2 linked regions of the Drosophila melanogaster genome follow. The protein of the gene in region 1 interacts with the protein of each later gene in a biochemical or structural test. Each region holds a gene or a part of one and is shown in the gene's direction. Other genes may lie near its edges. The genes, in order: CG1024 and CG30020.

Region 1 (10,003 bases):
CCTCGATCAACTGTGAGTAAACAATATACGATGGGCGTAATAAGTATTTGCAATTTGTAATAATATTTCTAAAATATTAGCAAGTTAAACTTGTCATTAATTGAACTTGCCTGGCTGGTTGCTTTCCGGTAAACCAGCACGTGGCCCCCGACCAAGGTCGCCTCATGACAGACCAGGCACAAGCCCAACAGGGTGAGTATCTGGCAACTTCTCTTGGACATTCTGTCGCGGAGGACACACGTTCTGGAGATGATCGGGACTTGGTCTGTACTGTTATTGCTCTAGTCCGCTATGTCCAGTGCTGTAGCGATTTGTCTTCAACATCCGCACCATTCGCATGTCTCATCTGTGTCCCACCGCCAGCGATTCTGTGCGCTTGGACTTCGGACTTAAAACAAAAGAAAATGTTTTTTAACATATTATGAATGATTATTTATTTGGGTGCTATAACTATTTATATAAATAATAATAATAATTTTTGCAACTCGAGTATTATCCTGCGTGTAGTCAACCTAGGCGTAAACCTCTCCGCCTACGAGGCCATGGCAACAAAGAGCTCAGCTGATAAGATAAACGGCCAACTGGGGGTATTGTTGATTTGCTTACTCTGAAAAAATTTGCGTTTCTTCAGTCACGCTGCACTTACAGCTGGTTTGTTTGTTGACACAGTCAGGCAGACGACGGTTCGTTCGGGTTTTCGCGAATGCATTAATGGTTACTTCAAACAGAACAGAAAAATCAACGCGTTTCGCTCCTTGGCTGCTATTGTACTCAATTTGCCATCAATTAATTTTATCGCGATCAAATAATAGTGGCCGAGATCTTGGGCGGCAGCTGCTGTAGTCGGAACAAATAGGTTGATGAGTCACGAACACCGCTCCATGCTAAAACCAGAACCCAGACCGCATGCACATTTAACTATTTAGCGTCGACGCACCGTCGGTCCACAGTTGGGGCAGAAAAAGTGGAAAGTTTCTATTCGTACATATATTACAAATTCTGCTAATACACAGCCGAGGGGAGGTGTGCAAATATGTCACAAAATGTTTATTAAAGTTACGATTTGACAAAGAAAACGTCACTGGCATTAGCACATCGGTAGACAATCGGAGCAAAGGCTCCAATGAGAACGTGACTTTGTTTTTATTGGATGGTTAAACAATAAATGGGAGGCCGACATTCGTTGTTCCAATGAGAAATTCAATCTGGGGAGGCGCGTGCGTTTAATAGAATTACGCCCTACGGATTGCCCAACAGTCTTTGCATTCAGGTATGAGTTGGTGATCCTACCATGTAACATTCTATTTCCATTTCATGGCATGTTATAAAGAAACGACTACGGTGTAGAAGGAGTTTGTTTTTAAGATGATTTCAACTAGAATGCTATTCCTTTGACAAACAAGTAGTTCAACAAATTATTAAAATGTTGGTTACTATCGCATATGTTTCTACACAATTTTTTAGCAACTTGGCGATCTTTTGCCAATTAATAGTATGGTCATTTCGCAATTTTCAAAACTTGTATATAATTTTCCTTGCAAAAGCGCTTGCAAAAAAGCTAGAGTAGCTATCTGGATATGTAGAGATACATATGTATTGACTGGATTGTTTTAAACAATCCTGACATACGGATTGAATGTTTAGCGACGAGGAATGCAATTCGCGTTAATTCGCTTTGTTTGGAAGGCCGATATCAATTTACACATTACACAGCGTACGCAGCACCCACCCACCAACACACAAACACGCGCACACACACACACCTTGAACTTTACAAGGCACGAGTGTGGTTTCAAGGTTTTCCTTTTTGGGGGAGGGCATACGCTCACGCAAACACGCATACATACATACATAGGCACTAGGCAGGTGTTTCCTGAATGGTGTACAACGGTGGGTTACAGGTGAAAAGCGGCCTCGATTGGAGGCAGCAGCCCACAAGTTATTGCACTTAAATTTCGTATATTCGCTTTTGTTGTTTTTTTTAGGCGCCTCTGTGTGCGTGCCTGCTACTGTGCTTGTGTGCGTTCAATTAGCACAACAACAAAGCAGCTGAGCGATTTCCTTTTGCTTTCCCGACGCCCATTCGCGTAAATCCACTGGTCACTCACTTGATTAGGGCTTCTCGTGCTCTTAGTTGACCGTTTGGAGCGACTTCTGGCCAGTTCCTGTATCCAATCCTATTTTTTCAGCACTCGCTCGCCTCCTCACTCGTCGCCATCGCACTGGTATTGCGTTGTACTTTGTTTTGCTCCCTTTTGGGGCTCGGACTCCTCGGGTTCCTTTAGTTGGTGGTCGTGGTTCAGCGGGGACAGCGCAGTGGCTGCGAAAAGAGCATGACAGTCGCGATAAGAACGCTTTGGGTTTGGTTCACTTTTCTAATTATCGGATATTAGAATTTACATCCCACCCGAACACAGACACATATACAGGGCTAGAGCTGGAACTAAATCGATGTATAGCTGCTGCTGGCTTCCTGACGGCGATGTTTTCGTACATCGATTACTCCCATATTTCGATAGCTATCGACTAAAATTTTAAAAATATTAAAATCCAGTATTCTCAGCAACTGTTTCAGATCATTGTACAGAATTTAGAATTCTCAACTTCAGAACCTGAAACCATATAGAAATATAATACTAAGATATAGCATTAATAACTAGTTTTTAAGATTCTAGAAGTACAAATACAATGAATTGGTTAAAATCAGTTTCTGTGCAAAATACTACTTGCCTTTTCGAATTAACCAAGAAAATTAACCGATTTTCAGTGGTGCGTTTATATTTTGTGTTGAACAATAATGCATTTGAGTTATGAAACATTAAAATCACATGACTGCGGGCTACTTGATCCAGAGATACATTTTCCCCTGGATGGTGTGCTTGACGGGATTGATCTTCTTCAGGATTTTCGTCATGGTCTCGACCAAACGGTCGCTGGAGACAGGCGTCTTCTTGTTCTTGAACTTGGTGAGCAACTCGGTGGCGGTCAGGGGCTTTCGCTTAAGATACCGACGCACCGCCTCCTCGGTGATGCCGTAGTCCCTAAACAAAATACATGAAATTAGAATTAGGAATTCCAGTATATCACGGCTTTACTCACTCTACTTTGCCGCCAGAGAAGGAAGTGGGCAGCGATGTGCTAATCTCGTTCTTAGGCCTCTTTGCTGGCGTGCTGGTGGGACTGTTGCTTGTGTCCGAAGCGGTGAGATCGCTGGGTAAGCTGTTCATCTTGCGCTTGCTGGCATCCGTCGAGAGCGTTGGAGTGGCCGAGCGAGATTTATTGGCATTGCTGCTGCTGGCGATGACCTTGCTGCTCGCAGCGCTCTCTTTCTCCTTTTCCTTTTCCTTGTCTTTGTCCTTGACGACGACCTTCTTCTTGGGCGGTCCGTTGCTAAGGTCGTCCTCGGAGTCTGTGCTGTCAGAGCTGAAGTCTGTGGACGAGTCACCGCTGCCATTCGACTTGCCCTTCTTGTCGTCCTTTGTGGGTTTCTTCTTCTTTTTGTCCTTGGATACCTCGTCCTTGCCCTTATCCTTCTTTTTTTTCTCGCCGTCGGCATCCTCCTTGTCCGACTCATCAGACTTCTTCTCATCATCCTCCTCTTCATCGGAGGTAAGCAGCTTGCGGAGCGCATCTTCCTCGGCCACGCCTTTCATGTCCTTGTCCACCTTTGCCTCTGGATCTGGTTCGCTAGAATAGGGTATAAGAAATTAGTAGATGTGGTCCAAATTGTATTGCCATTATCAGAATCGTTTGGGGCACATACTCTTCACTGGAGCTGGTGTCGTAGTCCATTTCTCTGCCCTCCTCGTCACCATCGTCCGACTCCTCGAAGGCCTCGTCATCAACATCCCTCTTTTTCTTTTTCTTGTCTGCGCCCTTCTTGCCCTTTCCCTTGGCCTTGCCATCGTCGCTGTCTTCCTGCTCCTTCTTCTTTTTATCCTCCTCGTCCTCCGAATCCGACTCATCCTCGGAATCAATCCATTCATCCATGTCAGTGATCTTGAGCTCCTTGGATTTTTTGGTGGCTGCCTTAATTAGCTTAGCCTCCTCCGGATCCTGCTCCTCTTCCTCATCGCCGCGCAGACGCTTTCGCAACATAAGGGAGAAGTAGTTCATCACCTTTTTGCGCCGACCAAATTCCTGTTCGGCCTCCTCCGCCGACAGCGATTTGTAGCGCTGAATAGGCTGGAAGTTGTACCACTCGGTCAAGGGGTATGCCTCAATGGCGCCGTCTGGTGCATGGGTGAACACATAGAAAGCTGCATTCTCGCCTACGCCGCCCTCGCGGATGCCTTTGAACTTCTTTCCAGTCTTGCCACCCACTTTAAGGATCCATGGCTGTGCCTCTGGACGGTACTTTCTCGCTATAATGCCAAACTTCTTGCGGCGCGCCTCCTCGCGCTGATCCCGGTTGTACTCCGATCCAGCACCAAACTTGGGCTGATCCTCCTCCATGCCCCGGAACTCCTTCATGTTGTTTTCCCGCTCCAGTTTCACATTTCTCCACTGCGCGAAATCCACATTGAGCGTGGCGTTGAACCGCATCACATGGTGCTTCTTGGGCATCTTGGGCACGCGGATCTTGAACTCCTGCACGTTGGCGGATGACGAGGCGGATCCTGAGGCGACAGAGGCTGCGGCGGCGGCAGCTGCGGACGTGGAGCTCCCGCTGGCAGCGCTCGGCTGCATGAAATCAAGCGAAGACCGCAAATAAGTGTTGGCGCCGGAAGCGGCAGGGTAAAGACTTACCGTCGACTTTGACGCGCTCGACATGGCTTAATGTTTGCTAATCATATGTTGCTTCTATCTGGATATTTTATACTTTTCCCCAAACTCTTACAATTCGCGGCGCGGGCAGAAAAGTTGGATTTTCTAGCGATGTCCGATAACAGAAGTGCAGTTATTCTTTGGAAGCAAGTGTATCGTATCGTTTGGGCAGAAAAATAATATTTATTCCAAGAGATTTTGATAAACAAATTGGAAAAGTAGATATTATAAGATTGCATATTCAAGCCCTACAAGGTATTTAAAAACTTCAAAGTTTTGTAATGTTCTATCAAAATAAAGTGACAGCCGATATCCGTTCACAGTCACGGTTATCGATTACCTCTTTTTAGATAAACGATTGTCGCCATAGCAAATAACGATAAATTCACAAAGCGCTGTCTAGTTTGTTTGGATTTCATTTGCAGTTTGTCGCTTAAATGTTAGGGAAAATGTCGCGGAACGTGACGCTCTCGGATGAACAAAGTCGGCTTAATGCGCGTCTGGAGGCGCACATGGTTTACATATGTCCGGAATGCGGCAAGGCGTTCCGCACTCAGGCGGAGTGGCGACAGCATCTGAACACGGCAAGTTGCGGGTTTTGTGCAAATCAAGTTCTGCTTTAATAATGGTTTGAAATGTGCCCACAGAAACACGACTATCTAAAGAAGACGTACTCAGATTTCAACTTCATCCAGATCGACGAGCGATTCCATGAGTGCCAGCTGTGCTTCAAATGGGTGGAGAATGCCCACAAGACAATCGCCCTCCTGCAGTACCACTACTTTATGCATCTGGAGCACAGTGAAACCTACCGCTGCGTGCACTGCCGCATGGCGTACACGAGGCGCCGGGCTCTGAACGTCCACCTACTGGACACGCACATGCGGGAGATCGAGAAGTACGAGAACAAGCTGCGCCAGATGAAGCGGCAGCAGGCGAAACCCACTACAGCGGCCGCACCAGCTGGAAATGCAGAGAAGCCGATGGCTGTGAAGCCGCGTGGGCGTCCCAAAGGTTCCACGAACAGAAAGCAAAATGATCTGCTGCAAAAGGCGCTGATGGACATTGATCTGAACACAGAAATGGAAAAGTCCCCAGTGACAGCACTAGCGGCTCCTGTAAACGAACCTAAGCCCATTTCAAATGTCAGCGAGCTGAATCTAGATCGGTGTTTGAATGCCTACGAGGACATCGTGCGCAAGGAGGAGAAAGAGGTGGTGCCGAAGTATGACGACGAGTTGGATGCGCTCTGCAAGGAGTTTTTTGATGATGGCCCCTCCGCCGGCAAAGGAGAAGCTAATGAGGAGCAGCAGCAAGACGATGCGCACCTGCAGCAAGGAAATCAGGAGGTGGTCATCATCGAGATCGATGCACTCGGCAAGGAGGAAGTGGCCCAGCTGAAGAAGGAAATGAAGTCGGACCCAATAAGTCAACCGACTAAGCGTCGACGCATCTCTACGACGCCCAGCCGCGACTCAGACACGGAAATGTCCACCAACGGCCTCACGAAGCTCATATCGTACTTGTGTCCGAAGTGCGGCAAGGAAATCGCCTCGATGGACGGTTGGCGGGCACACGTATTCAAGAAGCACGACTTCGAGCACATAATCGAGAACAGTTTTAAGATCCTGGAGTCCGGGCGCAAGGCCATGTGCCTGCAGTGCCGTGAGGTGCAACCAACGACCGTGCGCTCACAACTGCAGAAGCACTGCTTCAAGCATCTGCCCTACCGGTCGTACCTCAAGTGCACACTCTGCGATCGCACCAAGACCAGCACCTCAAAGATCCTCAATCACATTCGCTACAACCACCAGGAGGAGCTGCAGCGTAAAAACAAGACGCAGCTGCTTATTAAGCCGGAGCCCATGTGGGCCAGTCCCAACAAGTCCGGTCAAGCGGCCATGGCGGATGACGCCGGATCCGAGGACGATCAGGGCGAGCAAGCTGTGTGCGAGCACTGTGACAGAGTCTTTAGGAGCAAATGGCGCTACGAACGACACATTGCCTCTTGCAGGAGATCTGGAGCTGGCAAGTCAGTCGAAGGGACCGTTGAAGCCTTGTTGAACCATCTGCGAGAAGGGCACATGCGAATGAACGCCATCTGGAAGACGATGCAACGTGAAAAGCCTTAGGTATAGTCTAGTTAAAGTTAAGTCGGTCCATCGTTTTGCAAATATCATCAAGTGTAAAATATACGTAAGTTTTCAAATCCTTGTGCAAATATTGTGCTAGGAAAAGATCATAATTAACACATACGACTTACATGCCTATGAAACATGTATCAATCTGCATTTAAGTTGTTATATGTTAACTATATAGCGTATACAACTAAATAATATATAGATATTTTAAATCCATTTCTCATAAATATGTTTTTCAAGAAGTACATTTATATTTTTTTTTTTTTTGCTGTGAATTATAGGACAGGATCGATAAAGGCATTTAAATTCATGGGCACGACCTTTGACAGTGTCTCAAGGAGCAGTAGCGATTCTGGTTGCCGCCACATCCGAGGTACTTCATCTTGAGGCACTTCCTGGTTCTCTGGTTATAGTACCACATTTCGTCCATGGCAGTTCTCCGGCAATGCCTTCCCCCAAATCCTTCGTTCTTGCCGCCTTCGCAACTCAGACGACCTGTGTGAAAGTGTAGATCAGCTATAAAAGTACACTTACTAAATGCTGTTATTAAACATACCCCTAGGACGACCATCGCAGCGATTCTGGCCACATGCGAGAGATACGTAGAGCACAACGCAAGCTAGAACCAAAAGTAACTTCATTTTCAACGGATTGCTCTTTGGAGGGTCGACTTGATATGACTGATCTGTAAAACGATGGACTTATATAGGGGCGGCTGCCAACATTTTTCCCAGTTCCCTAGAACGAGTAAAAAACATCTTGACAATCGACTCTATTGTTAAATGTTTTGAGGCTATCAGATAATAGTATAAAAAAGGGGCTTAAATTAAACTTTTTAAAGGCATAAGATGTGGGATGAACCATTCAAAAACGTTGCTGGAATGAAAATGTATTTTCCACTTTTAACTTAAAAAAAAAAGCTGCAAGATCGATCTTTCGCTCAATCCTATTGATTTCGTATCAGGGCAAAAACACTTGTGCTGAATGTAAATATGATTTAACCAGAATTATATTTACCCAATTAATTAACATTCTTTTCGTTAGTCACTTTGTATTACTAATACGAGGAATACTTTTCTGACTAATTCATTTTATAAATCAGATTAAGGATTAAATTTAACATGACGATTATTTATTATGTTTAATTTAAAACATTTCACTTTAAAGCAATTGTTATTCAGTTAGGTAAGCTTCAAGGCATAGCTATCCATTGCGGAGCCCAAAAGCCACTTGGCTTACGACTGCGCATGTGGCTACCTATCGAGCGTCTCATTATTGCTCTGCGTCTGGAGAAAGCCCTTTCCATGGTTCTAATAGTTGCGTCGCCTTCTGCGCCTTCCTGTTGCACGCGGTCATCATCCACCTCGTGATTGCTGGATATGACCACGATCTTCCGGCGACCATGGAACATCTCAGCCCGCTTTATCAGCGCCAGGAAGCGGGCGAACTTCTTCTCCAGCGCAGCCCTGTCCAGAGGCTTTGGCATGGGTTCCAGTAGCCCTTCGGCATGAGCTTCTTCCCCTCCTGGCGATTCGGAAGCGGGTGTCCCTCCAGCTGTTGGTGCAGGAGTGGAGCCTTCTCCCTCCACCGGGGTGACTCCTGGAGTGGCTCCTGGCGCTGCTCCGTCGACTGCTGGAGTGGCTGCAGCTTCTCCAGGTGCAGCTGCTCCTCCTTCGGCGGCAGGCGCTGCTGCTGCTCCATCGGCTGCTGGTGCTGGTGCCCCACCTTCAGCTGGCGGCGTTCCATCAGCGTTTTCGCCGTTGAGCATGACGAAGTCCCGTTTTCCAAGAGTTCTAGTTTTAATTTCGGGACTGGACGCGTTTCCTGCTTTCGGCGTAACCTTCTCGTAGACCTCGGACTCGGCGCAGAGATGTGCATATTTCGGGTTCGCTCCGGTCTTGCAGGACTCCGCCGCCTTTTTCCCGGGCTCGTAGACGGGCGAGCCCACAACCGGGGCGTGGCCATAGTTGCACGCGAAAAACGTCTGAATCCAGCCATGCCGGGACTGCTGAACGATGGCACAGCCCACGGATTCAGCGTTCTCCAGCACGATCTGTAAAAAGTTGTACTTCGGCGACCTGATAGATGGGAACACAAGTTGAAGTTGATTAATTCCGTTTTTTCATATAGTAATAAATCATGAAACCCACATTTATTTTATGTATTGAATGTTCTTAGATGTAGCCTGGAAATTTACAAGCGAATCTTTATATAAAATATTTAATTTTCGGACCAACAAATAATTAAAACTTTCTAAAGATAAGTTCATGGGGTTGAGTTCTTCTATTAAAGCTTATAAAAAACAATCGTTATGGATATGGATTATGGAATAAGCTAAGATAAATAAACTAAGGTAAGTCCCCTCTTAATTAATTGCAATCAATATCATCTGCAAGAGTCATCCGGCAGAATGCAATCCCTCGCCAGAGAAGAGAGCCCAATGGAATCCACATGCAATCGTTTTATTCTTGAGAAGATCGCGAAGCGTACGGCCGCATATAACATAAGAAGAATTTCATAACGGAGTGTTGTTAAAAGAAACTATATCATATCAAATATTAATATCAATAAAAAAAATGTGAGTGAAATCAACATCAAGACTAAATTACTATAATTTTCCAGCGGGTGGTCATGAAAATAAATGGATTCCTCTCCTTTAAAAGTTCATGTAAAATTGTCAAAAGGCATTTGTCGCACACTCGCGTCCATTATTTTGCAAGCCCTAATATTATTTTAGAAACAAAAAAAAATATTTATATTATCAACATTTATGTTGTCAAAATATAATCAATTGGTGTTTATAGTAATTTTGAAAAATTTAATTTTTAATTTAAGAAGAAAAGTGACAGAATTATAACATTCAGATACTTTGTCTCCTAATAACAACAGGTACAATTTTTCGGTCTTTTTATAAATTTAGATAAGATTTAGAAAGGATTACAAAATATTAAAAAATAAATAATAATCATTTCAGGTTGAAATATTTACCAAATCCCGTAAGGACGCCCGAGTAAACAACCCTATATATTCCTTAAGTGGTACTCACTGAGATTCCTGCTCGACATACTTCATGATGTTCACCATCGAAGTTCTGG
Region 2 (12,336 bases), on another chromosome or scaffold:
ATCCTGAGCAACTATTTCAATACACCTCGACTCATGCATCGTGGACATACCTACCGCATCGAGGTGAACGCAGAGTTGGTGGGCACTGCGACTTATGCCCACTATTACCTGATATTCGCTCACCTACGCCACGTCCACCTAAAGTGTATTCACCTGGAGACAAAGGGCAGCGAGTTCGAGCTGCAAGCGATTGTTGCCAAAAACTTTAGCAACCTTGTTCAAGTGCCTGCATCTCACAGTTTCCTGCCTCGTCAAGTGCTTGACAGCATGGCCATCGTTGAGAACTATCCAAGTGGACTTCGAAAGCCCTATAAGCTGTTGCGCTCCTCAGTAGATGCTTTCCTGCCAAAAAAGTCCGCCTGCCTGTCGTCAAAGCACATATTTCCTGTGTTCCTCCTGCAAGGCGAGCGAGGATCGGGCAAATCAAAGCTTGTGAGCGCCGTAGCCCAAGAGTTGGGGATGCATATTTACGGAGCAGATTGCGCAGAGATCGTTTCGCAAGTTCCCTCCCACACGGAGATGAAGCTAAAAGCCGTATTTGCCAAGAGCCAAGTTTGTGAACCGCTTATGATTTGCTTCCATAACTTCGAGGTACGTGGGCTTTGAGTAAATGTGCAGAGGTTATTACAATTCATATTTTCAGATTTTTGGCATAGACAACGAGGGTAACGAGGATCTGCGTCTGCTTTCCGCCTTCCACGTGCAGGTCCAGGAACTCTTCAACAGGGACCGCAAGCATCCGATTGTAGTGGTGGCTTTGACCAGTGACAGACACCTTAAACCCATGATCCAAGGACTTTTCTTGGAGATCATAAACATTGACATGCCCAGCAAGGAGGAGCGATTCGAGATTCTTCGCTGGATGCACGTGCGCGAGACTTTCAACGATATTATCTACAATCAGAAGGCTATTGAGCAATTACCCTTGTTCTCGCGGGAAAATCAGTCGCAATTCATGCCACGCATTTCTCCCAGCTGGAGGGAAACCCTCAATGTCCTTCAGGATGTGGCTGCAAAGTCACAGGGCTTTCTGCTCGGCGACCTTCAGTTGCTGTACGACAACGCGGTTCGCATGAAGATTCGCAATAGGTTGGGTAGGACCACCCTGGATATGTCTCACTTCGCCAAGAACCTCACTGACATGCAGAGCTCTTTCGCGGACAGTTTGGGTGCGCCCAAGGTGCCGAAGGTTTATTGGTCGGACATTGGTGGTCTAGCCAAGCTAAAAGATGAGATCCAGAGCAGCATTGGTCTGCCGCTTAAGCATGTTCACCTCATGGGCAAGAATCTAAGAAGATCGGGAATCCTGCTCTACGGTCCCCCAGGAACAGGCAAAACCCTGGTGGCCAAGGCTGTCGCCACTGAGTGCAACCTGAGTTTTCTTTCCGTTCAAGGTCCAGAGCTACTAAACATGTATGTCGGCCAGAGCGAGCAGAATGTTCGCGAGGTCTTCTCCAGGGCTCGTTCTGCGGCTCCTTGTGTACTCTTCTTGGACGAACTGGATTCCCTGGCTCCCAATCGAGGTGTGGCTGGGGACTCTGGCGGTGTAATGGATAGGGTGGTGTCGCAGCTATTGGCAGAAATGGATGGAATGAGCGATGGCGACACTAGCAAGCCCATATTCATTCTGGCCGCCACCAATCGCCCGGATCTTATTGACCCCGCTCTTTTGCGTCCTGGTCGCTTTGACAAGCTTTTCTACGTGGGACCTTGTTCAACTGCCGAAGACAAGGCAGCCGTTTTGCGTGCCCAAACCCAGCGATTCGCTTTGGACGCCGGTGTGGACATGGAACAGATTGCCGAGCGTTTGAAGAGCGAAATGAGCGGCGCAGATCTGTACTCCATCTGCTCGAATGCATGGCTCTCCGCTGTGAGGCGCACCATAGACGGACACTTGAGTGGAACAATATCAGAGAAGGAACTGGTGCCGGAGAACGTAATTGTGCAGGAGGAAGATTTCACGAAGTCTTTCAACAAGTTTGTGCCCTCGATCAGCGCCAAGGATCTGGAGTATTTCAACAACCTAAAGGCTTCATATAGTGTCTAGAGTATGCGCAGATGGTTAACTAGTTCTAAGAGTTAGTTTTTTACAGACATTTTTCGTTGTTTTTCAATAAACCCGTTGATAGTTCACAATTCCCAGCGAGCTTCCACTCGTTTGAACCACTTAAGGTGGGTGGAGCTCTCGTATGAAATAGGAACCAGCGTGTGGAAGTGCGACTCGAATTACTGTGGAAGACAGCAGGAGGTAGGTGATTCCAATTAACCTTTGCGAAGTGGCTTCTTATCATTTCGGACAATAGCTTCCCCCCATGTCGAGTAGGAAAATTACGTCTTTTGATTTAAATGATCCCTGCGCTGATCTGTACTTCATAATCTCGGGCTGGTGAGGCATCCCTTATCTACAGTGTGTGCTTATCGCGATTCCCCGGTTTATGGATTTCGCCGGACAAAAGCGTTGATGCTGGCACCTAATCTTAGTGGGTTCAGTGCGAGTCTGGGAGGTGCGTCAAGAGGTGTTGTCAAACATTGTATATTTCCATTCTCCTGTTATATAACAGCCATGGCTTTGGTTTGCGTAGAGGACTTTGAAAAGAAGGCCGTTGGGCAACTGGAGAAGAATGCCCTGGACTACTACCGTAGCGGAGCCGGTGAGCAGTTCACCTTGGGACTGAATCGCGAGGCCTTCCGCCGGCTACGCTTGCGACCTCGTTGTTTGAGAGATGTCTCCCGCCTGGACATTAGTACCAAGATCTTCGGCGAGCAGATGCAGTGGCCTCTGGGCATTGCTCCGACGGCTATGCAGAAGATGGCCCATCCGGACGGCGAGGTAGGCAATGCCAGGGCGGCCGGAAAAGCCGGCTCCATCTTTATACTCAGCACACTGTCCACCACTTCGCTGGAGGATTTGGCAGCCGGTGCCCCGGATACCATCAAATGGTTCCAACTGTACATCTACAAGGATCGGTGAGTTGATTATCTTTATGTATGTAAGCAAATACTTCTTTATTAAACACATAACTTCCTAAATACAGTACCATAACGGAAAAGCTGGTACGTCGTGCCGAGAAGGCGAACTTCAAAGCGCTCGTCCTGACCATCGATGCTCCAATCTTTGGACACCGTAGAGCCGATGTGCGCAACAACTTCAGCTTGCCGTCGCACCTGTCATTGGCCAATTTCCAGGGCGTTAAGGCTACTGGAGTGGGTAATGCCGCTATGGGCGCCTCAGGCATTAATGAGTACGTCTCCAGCCAGTTTGATCCAACCATAACCTGGAAGGATATTGCCTGGTTGAAGGGCATCACTCATCTGCCCATTGTGGTCAAGGGAGTGCTGACTGCCGAAGATGCTGTGTTGGCCCAGGAGTTTGGATGCGCCGGACTCATTGTTTCCAACCACGGTGCTCGTCAGATCGATACGGTTCCGGCCTCGATCGAAGCCCTGCCGGAGATCGTAAAGGCCGTGGGAGATAATCTGGTGGTTATGCTGGACGGAGGCATTATGCAGGGCAATGATATCTTCAAGGCTTTGGCTTTGGGAGCCAAGACGGTCTTTGTGGGTCGTCCGGCTGTCTGGGGATTGGCCTACAATGGACAGAAAGGCGTGGAGGAGATGCTGAGTGTGCTGAGAAAGGACTTTGAGACCACCATGGCGCTGATCGGTTGCCAAAATTTGGGAGACATCACGTCGGCAATGGTGGTACATGAGAGTCAATATGCCAAGCTGTAAATCAGGAACGTTTTAGTGTAGATACATAAAACTTATCAAACTTGCTTTCATAAATCCAATAAACATGTCAATAAATAAATATATAATAAATAGATAGATAGATAGATAAATAAACAGATTCCAGCAATTAAAACCTATCATCATTCTTCAGACAAACAATATAATAGGAAGATTATATTTACATGTCAGACTTTTTGGAAATATTCCTATTTTTAAGACACAACTGTTGTGCATATTAGCTTACAGATTATTGTTATGCTCTTTTCAAATCAAAGGTTTTCTTTCACAAGAGATCATTGTTTTAAATTTATATAAATTTCTTAAATGGTGAAACTCAATTTTTAAATTAATGATAACCTAGAACGGTAAATAGTCGTCCGATAACAATGCTTGGGTTGATGATGTGCGAAAAACTGGCAGTTATCGCAATGCTCCCATCTCTATGAGGCATGTACATAAAAGAAAAAATTAACAAAACGCGAATACCATTAAAATACAATGCTAGACGGTTGGTACTGCAGATCCCTGGCCAACCAGGAGGATGGCGCCATAAAGGACGAGCCGCCGAGCGACGACGAGCCCGCACAGCCCGCCAGAGATCGCGTCCCGCCAATTTCCCGCGGAGCAGCGCCCGCTAGCTCATCCTCCGTATCCGCGGGCCTGGGCGCAGGCGAGACTGACTTCAAGGAGCGCTACAAGAACCTCAAGAAGAAGCTGAAGTTCCTCATCTATGTAAATATCTAAAGTTGAACTTGGCCAATGGCAAGTCACAGCTTTTTGTGTTTACAGGAGAACGAGTACTTCCAGGATCTATTGCACACCAACCAGCGGCGTCTGCTGAAAGTTTCCCGGGATCGTACCTTCCTGCTGGACCGTCTGCTGGTGTACGAGAAGCCGGCCAAGGACTCTAGCGACTCGGATGCCACCGACAGCTCCGATTCGGAGCCAGCTTCTACGTCCGGCGTTGCCGGCGGATCGCAAACATCCAAGGACGCCATTCGGCGCAAGCACAAAGACAAGGGGGCACCAGGAATTCCAGGTGTGCCTCCGCACATGCCCACAGTGGGCGCCCCACGAGGTCGAAGACGAAAAATCCTAACCGGAATGTTGCCCGCGAACCATGGAATCCCAGCAATTGCTGCGAAAAAACAACTTACCGCCACGGTGTCACCTTCGCAGCAGCCACCGCAACTACAGACTGCTCCGAAGGATGTGTCGCCCGGCCTCAGCCAAGCGGAGATTGCCCGCCAGCTGCAGGAGCGACGACCGACGCCGTTGGAGCTATTGAGTCCGGAATGCACTTCGGCCACCGTGCCCACAACGATGCTCAGCGATGAAAGCCCCTCTAAGTGGTAATAAGTTGTGCAATTCCCACGTTGCAGCACCAATCTAATAATCGTGTTCTCTTAGTTATCCCAATGAAAGCCTGCAGCATCTGATGGAGGACGACTCTCACTCGCACGAGGTGGCCGCCGAGGAGTGCGTGCCCATGGAGTACACAAGTTAATATTCTTTACTGAGCTAAATATGAAAATACGAAAATAAATTAACTAGATCCAGCTGGATTGATATATTATTTAGTTTGTTTTTAAATAACTTTCTTGGGGCTCCTCTACAAGATTGAAATTTACTAACATGTTTATTCTTTAAATAATCGAAAAGGGCTTACAAGGAAATTAAATGGAAATAAAATCATTGTAAACATTTTAAGCCTTTTTACTCCCGATAAAAAAAAAACAATAAACATATATAACTTTAATTTATAGCTTTAATTTCCCTGATCAGTTGGCAAACTTTAAAAGCTTAAGAAGCGAGTAGTTGAAATAAATTAAAGTTAACTAAAATTCCTACAAATGATTGCAAAAATTAAAATTTTTGTTCGTATCCCTGCGTTAATCTGAAAATTCGTTGGCGCGAAAGTGCCTGCTTACCGATAGACGCTGTATATCGAGTGAATGCGCAGTCCTGGTCATCGGTAATTGTTAGCCAGCCCTGCCGAGCAAAACACCAATGCAGAACAACCCTGCCTTTGTAATTTATTTCGACGCGACGCGAGTGGAGAAAAACAATCAAATTAAATTCTCTAAGACGTGATAAATTCTGGCGCTTTACCAGCTAAACGCTTCGAACGGACCGCAGCCGATACGGGTGCCACCCGATGAGCAGCTCGTGAACGATGGCGCTGAACAAAAGGAAGAGCCCTTACTCGGACCCAATTTCGGGCGCCGAAGTGGACTACAAGTTGTCATGTCGCTGCTGCTTGAAGACGAACGTGGAGTACGTCAAACTGGACTCGGTGTCGGTGGCGCGCAGTCTGGACCCGGCGGACGCCACTGAGAAGATACCGCTCCTTCGTTGCCTGCTGTTCTGCGTGAGCGCCGATAATGCGCCGGAGCTGCCGCAACACATATGCCTCGAGTGCAGCAAGAGCCTGCAGGTGGCCTACTACTTCCTTCAGAATGCGCTGCGTGCCCACGAGATCCTGTGCCGGAAACTATGTCCCAAGGTTTCAAAGAGACTGAATGGCACTTTGGCTCAGGAGCAGGAAAAGCCAGCGTGTGCAGAGGTATGTTTGCCCTAAATAGTGGCTTTCACAGCTATTGTTTCACTATCACTATTGGTTCTCCCTTTTCAGCCGGTACAGCCCCTAAAGACCATGCGGCACGAGTGTCAGGTCTGCGGAGTAGTGCTCTACAATCGCCTGGAGCTCAAGCAGCACATACGCCAGCATGCAGGTACAGTTTGACTTTCGCCACAAGCGTAATTTATTGAACTAAAAGTGTAAATACTTTTCCAGAGGGTCTTTCATACAACTGCAAGTTGTGCAGCTTCACGTCGTTGAAGCAACGAACTTTGTTCGAGCACTATGTGACCATGCACAACATGCCCCTTAGCCAGGCAGAGGAGTACGTAAAATCAAAGCATCTTCCAGCTCCTAAAGAAGAAGAGGTTAAGGCAGTGTGCACGCTTGAGGATATGGAGTTGCTGATACCCACCGTACTTAGGCCGGAAGATTACGTACAGCCGCATCCGCATATTGATAACGACCAACTGCGAGACATTGATCACCAGCTGGCCGTCAGCATGGATGAACCCGTACCGTCAGTGGACAGCCTCACCTCCACCCTGCCGCCGATGGATACGCCCAATGTTAGCATCGGCACCGAGTACCTTGTCCTTCCCGACGGTTCGCTGCAGCAGGTTAACGGAAGCGGTGAGTTGAACTATCCATGGGTGCATGATTGCAAAATACAACTCATACTGATCTTTTTCAGGCGTGGTCATCGAGTATATAGACGATAGCAAACCGAATAGTTCCAGCAACGTCAATGTAAGCCTACAAAATCTCCTGTCCAGCCATAATGATCCGATGGATATCGATGTCAACGAATTGATCGTGGAGGAAATGATGCCACAGATAAGAAGTAAGATCCGTCCCAGTGACTTACAATACGATTCTACTATTTTTTGTACGCTTACAGTCAAGCCAAAACCGGCCGTTATCGGAACATCCATTCACAAGCACAAGTGCAAATTCTGTCCGAAAACATTCTCCACTGTAGCGCGTCTAAAATCTCATCAGTTGACTCACAGCAGTTAGTTTACCCCACCTTCATTAAATCCAGCCCGCTATCGTTCATTCTGACTAATCGAATCTCTTTTACAACAGATCTTCCCAAATTCTTCTGCGACCAATGCGACTTTTACTCGTTGCGCAGCGCCGATCTAATACAGCATTACAAGATGGTCCACCATCGGGTTGATGAAAATGGCAAGACCGGCAAGGAACAGGCGCAAGGTATAGAGTCTCGTGTCTACTCGTGCGATATGTGCCTGTTCGAGACGTCCACCGTTAGCCAGTTGCGAACACACTACAAGGAACGGCACACGGTCCAGCCCACGGAGGTGCAGCTGCGTCCCAGTTGGACGGGCGAGCCAACGACAACGAGAGGCGTTGCCGCCAAGCAGCAGACTCCGGCCAAGATATTAAATCACACCGACATCCCGTTGGGCATTAAATGTGAGTCATGAGATCGTTTTAACCAGGGCATTTAAACTGGTATCGACTTTCGCCGGTTTTTTGGACAGTTATGAAATGATTCGCAAACAAAAATTCGTATTAATCTTTTCGTTGGTTGAATGAGTTAATGTTGATATTTATTTATTTATTATTTTCTTATTATTCATTAGGTATTTTACCATACTTTTTGTTGAGCTCTCAACTTACTTCGTGCAATACGTTTTTTTTTATCATATTTTTTGCGGTAATTTTGTGACAAACCATGAACCGAAATTCTACACAACAGTTAAATTAAACGTTTACACTCGAAAATATGTAGATCACAGCAATGAAATTTTAAATTGTAAAATTAGTTGTACATACAAATTTAGCATAACACCGTGTATATCCAGGCTATGTCCTCTTTCTAGTAAATTGATGCTCATAATGATCATAATGGCAATTAGTTTTTTGGCATTAACTATCGGGTAGGATTGGGGAAACTCTCTTTAGCTATCGCGCTGATGAAACTACAAAAACGTTGAGGCCTTTATTCCATGTAAATAAAAGCAAATCGAATACAAGTGGAGGGATTGTGGACTTTCGGTAAGGACTTCAAAGGAGCACTTTAACTCGTTTTTGATAATTAATTGTTTATAATTACCGTGTTTATCTTTGAGTTTCTCCAGCCTGCACTCTAACCAAATTTTATTTAAGTCCAACAGTTTAAATTTGTATACTCATTTGAATTCCCTGGCTTTCCGTTTTATATGTTTCATGTTGGCATGTTTGTAATGCAATGTCTTCCAGATCCGCCTGGTGTTTTGGAAACGCAAGCGCCATTGCCGCAACCGGTGGTACATCAACCAATGCCTGATCCAATGCAGCAAACGGAGCCGATGGCCACCACATCGACGACCATCACCGAATCGGGCGACATCAACGTAGTGGTGGATGCGACGCCGCTCTTCTATGCGGCAACCTCCAACTCCCTGTTAGTGACGAACCCGGCACCGGTGACAACGGTGGAGGAAACCACCGGTACGGCCAGCAACCATGCATTTGGAATCTTTCCCGAAATCTCAGAGGGCAACCTGCCCGTGAACGAAGCCGTACAGCAGGCACCAGCCAATTCATCTAGCGTTTCGGTGTTTGGCGACATGCAGGACTTTATTGACAACACCGATGTGGCTGCCATATGCACAATTCCCGCGGATGGCATGCCCGTTGTGGATGGTGATGACATTGTGATTGATAATAACAATATCAGTCTGGACTTTGATGCCGAGAATTTGTTCGAGGACTTCGAGGAGGAGGAGGATGATACTGTGGCCGACGAAGAAGACGAGGCCGACAATGAAGACGAGAATGACAACAATGATGCTGCCACTGATCAAAATCTGTTGCTGACCAGCGACGATGATGATGTGGACGACTTTGATGACGAGCAATCGAAGCATCTGCAGAAGCCCTACTGCATTTACTGCAATAAGAAGTTTACCAGTCAGTATAAATTCGAGAACCACATGTTTGTTCATCGGGGTAAGTAAGCTGGGTCGGTCACACAGCTCTAGTTACTAAATAATCATGCATATATCTGGTTGGACTTCAGGTCTGGCTCCCTATCGCTGCGAACTGTGCACTAACCTCTACAACATGAAGCGATTGCTGATCAAGCACTATAAAACTGTGCACAAGCGAATGCCCACGAGGGACATGGTCCAGGCGAAGGGCGATAAGGTTTCCGTAGCCCGCACCAACATCGAAAAACTGTATCCTGGCAGGATAAAGAGTAAGCTACATAAAATACAGTATACAGATCACACCATCTTCAGTTTCTATCTACCTTCAGATCCAATGCTCATGTGCGCAAAGTGTCCGTTTGAATGCGAATCGGATTCGGAGATGCGCAAGCATCTGAATGCCCACCATGGAATCAATGACGGAGGTGAGTAAATCAATGATCAATTATTAAGCATTGATAGATTAAAGATATAATTTTTAATTCTACCATTGTTTTTATGAAATAATTCTAATAAGATAAATCATATTTTCATTCCAGTGTCCGAGCATGCAAACGAAGTGTTTATCATACGCAGTAAGTAGTTTTGTTATTTTGATAAGGTTTGAAACGATTTTCATCGTTGTGGCTATGACATATGAACTCATCTTTCGTCCAACAACAGAATTACCATTTGAATGTCCGCGCTGCATTCGATCGTTTGCGGCCAAGACCACTCTTAGTCGCCACCTGCAGCGCAGTCATTTGGTGGATACAATTATAGAGATGCAAACGCCGCATTGCGGGGAAGCCATCACGACTACGATGGCCACATCCTCATCAACGATTTCTGAGCCCGTAAACTCGGTCACAGTGGATGGCCAACACAATGAGATGATGCAGACGGATGTTGGGGCTGAAAAGATGACGGAAGCTTTAGGCAATGGCGATGGCAATGGTAAGAGCCTCAATAGCCTTGCACTAATCAAATCAAATTCCCATTTCAACTATGCCCAAAACACGCCAACGCATAATACAAATGATAATCTAAAAACGCTGTTGTTCGGCGACGAACAATGATCGTCGATTGTTGTTGTACTCACCAGAAGAAGGCGGCACAGATGATGGAACAGGAGTTAAAGCAGAACCGGCGGTGCCAGAGGAAGAACTAGATCCGGTAACATTGGACGCAGCCACAGCGGTGACTACAACAGCAATAGCAGCAGCAATATCAGCGGCAGCAGCAGCGACAGCTACTTCGTTAGAATCACCCGTAGCAACCACAGCTTCATCGTCCACCACTCTCTTTCCCACGCCCACACCATTTGATTTTGATTATGACATAATGAGAGACGAAGCCCAGCAATCGTCGCCCAATATCCATGACGTATCCAAAGCCCTCAGCGACAATGCATCATCCAGCTGCCCAATTAATGAAAGCTATAAACTGCTGTCCACCACTGCCCTGGAAACATCGCCAGCGAAGGGTTTACGCTCCAACAGCCGTCTGCATCGTTCTTCCATTCACATTTGCAAACTCTGTAACCAAACATTTGACGAGCTGGGCAAGTTGGTCAAGCATGAAATGGAGCTGCACTCCAATACGGAACGTTCGCGATGGGGCTATCAGCACAAGTGTGCCATCTGCAATACATCCTACCGCACGCTTACGTTGCTCAAGTTCCACATGAAGCGACACAGTAATAGAAAATCACAGTGCAAGCTGTGCCCCAAGTCCTTTGTAACTATCGCAGAGCTCGAGCGGCACACGAAGGCCAAGCACAGCAAGGATAAGACGCTTCGGTGCTTTATGGATGGCTGCCGGAAGACTTTTGCCTTCAAACACCATTTGATACGCCATCAGAAGGCCTCTCATCTGAGCACGCGGTATATATGTCCCGTTTGCAATAAGGAGGAAAAGTCCAATGTGCATCTGAAAAATCATATGAGCGTGCACAAAGGTGAGATAACCTACAAGTGTCCCAAGTGCGATCGCTCCTATTTGCGACGTGGCAGGTGAGAGATTCCCCTTTTCAAATCGTTTGTAAGCCTTCTACAATAATTTCTCTTATGCAGACTCGTAACCCATGCACTCATAATCCATGACTTGCGCTTCACCACCGAAGAGTTGGGAAACCTCTCATCCCTGGCTACGAACCAAGCCAGACCTAACGATCTTAAAGTCGCGACGCCCGTGGGACTCCTGGATGGCCGTAAGGATGTGAGCGGTGCAAGCGAAGAAAATGGGCAGCCCTAAGGAGCTGACGATAATTCCAAGTAGTTGTGAACTTATGCTTTTACGAATCAAGCAAAGTAATCGCACAATGTACAAAGTTTGATATAGTCTAAGTACTGTTCCTCTCCATCATTTTAGCACATCAAATGTCTTGAAGTTTTCTTGTTAAGTTCTAGACTAGGACATTAAACACAATCTCTTATACAAAATTAGTTGAAATACAGACGACCGATCACTTATTGACAAATAGACTTCGGTGAAATTTTCAATGTATTATGAGGATCCAAAAGTAGCAATGCCCAAATGGCAACTTAAGGTATCGCCTTAAACATAACAATCCGCAACGGGTCTCAAGGTGTCAGTAGTTAATCCATTCGATTCCCAAGCATGATTGAGGCAATCTCCACCAGCTGGCTCTGTATTGGCCAAAGAGAAACGCTTCACATCTAATGTTTAAAATTCTCCATTATATATATGTATAATTATTTTTTTTTTTGCAAACGGTCATGTATTTCGTATATTTACGAGCATCGTCATGAATAGAATAACCCAATAGTTTTAGGTTTAAATTCAACGCGTAGAAGGGATAAGTTATCTTCAACGATGTTACTTATAAAAGAAACGTACATTAAATAACTTTTACTACTAGATTCGAGATAAATATGTATTTATATTGCACCTAAATTGCATGCTTGGGTCAGGGAAGCTCCTTCTTAAAGATGTTCCATTTCCAGCTCCATTGATTTTCCAGACTGATCAACTGCTGGTAGGAAGCATAGTCATCCTTTGCGAACTCCTTCAGCCGGGCCAGCTGCATCATGGCCTCCTCGGTGGAATAGATAGGCTCTATCAGAGTCACGGGGTATG

What was found.
Region 2: the proteins of CG1024 (region 1) and CG30020 form a complex in vitro, tested with the Drosophila melanogaster proteins (one study listed by BioGRID).

Annotation. Positions count from the first base shown.
Region 1 is NT_033777.3:6,375,366-6,385,368, reverse strand, and holds CG1024 (uncharacterized protein), read left to right. Parts: upstream 1-5,161; 5' UTR 5,162-5,204; coding exon 5,205-5,351; intron 5,352-5,414; coding exon 5,415-6,899; 3' UTR 6,900-6,963; exon of another isoform or gene 6,964-6,973; intron 6,974-7,135; exon of another isoform or gene 7,136-7,189; 3' UTR 7,190-7,215; coding exon of another isoform or gene 7,216-7,403; 3' UTR 7,404-7,464; coding exon of another isoform or gene 7,465-7,549; 3' UTR 7,550-8,020; downstream 8,021-10,003. Other genes in the region: gzl (godzilla E3 ubiquitin protein ligase), read right to left, coding at 1-10, 111-221; TfIIFalpha (transcription factor IIFalpha), read right to left, coding at 2,840-3,041, 3,100-3,687, 3,764-4,683, 4,750-4,773; CG42537 (uncharacterized protein), read right to left, coding at 7,216-7,403, 7,465-7,549; CG42564 (uncharacterized protein), read right to left, coding at 8,101-8,986, 9,955-10,003.
Region 2 is NT_033778.4:10,881,069-10,893,404, forward strand, and holds CG30020 (uncharacterized protein), read left to right. Parts: upstream 1-5,741; 5' UTR 5,742-5,908; coding exon 5,909-6,298; intron 6,299-6,367; coding exon 6,368-6,467; intron 6,468-6,529; coding exon 6,530-6,946; intron 6,947-7,007; coding exon 7,008-7,157; intron 7,158-7,214; coding exon 7,215-7,328; intron 7,329-7,402; coding exon 7,403-7,753; intron 7,754-8,542; coding exon 8,543-9,274; intron 9,275-9,344; coding exon 9,345-9,524; intron 9,525-9,584; coding exon 9,585-9,680; intron 9,681-9,794; coding exon 9,795-9,830; intron 9,831-9,918; coding exon 9,919-10,191; intron 10,192-10,339; coding exon 10,340-11,249; intron 11,250-11,309; coding exon 11,310-11,490; 3' UTR 11,491-12,123; downstream 12,124-12,336. Other genes in the region: Pex6 (peroxin 6), read left to right, coding at 1-591, 644-2,047; Hao (hydroxyacid oxidase), read left to right, coding at 2,564-2,967, 3,036-3,732; CG18004 (uncharacterized protein), read left to right, coding at 4,231-4,464, 4,522-5,084, 5,143-5,239; cag, read right to left, coding at 12,167-12,336.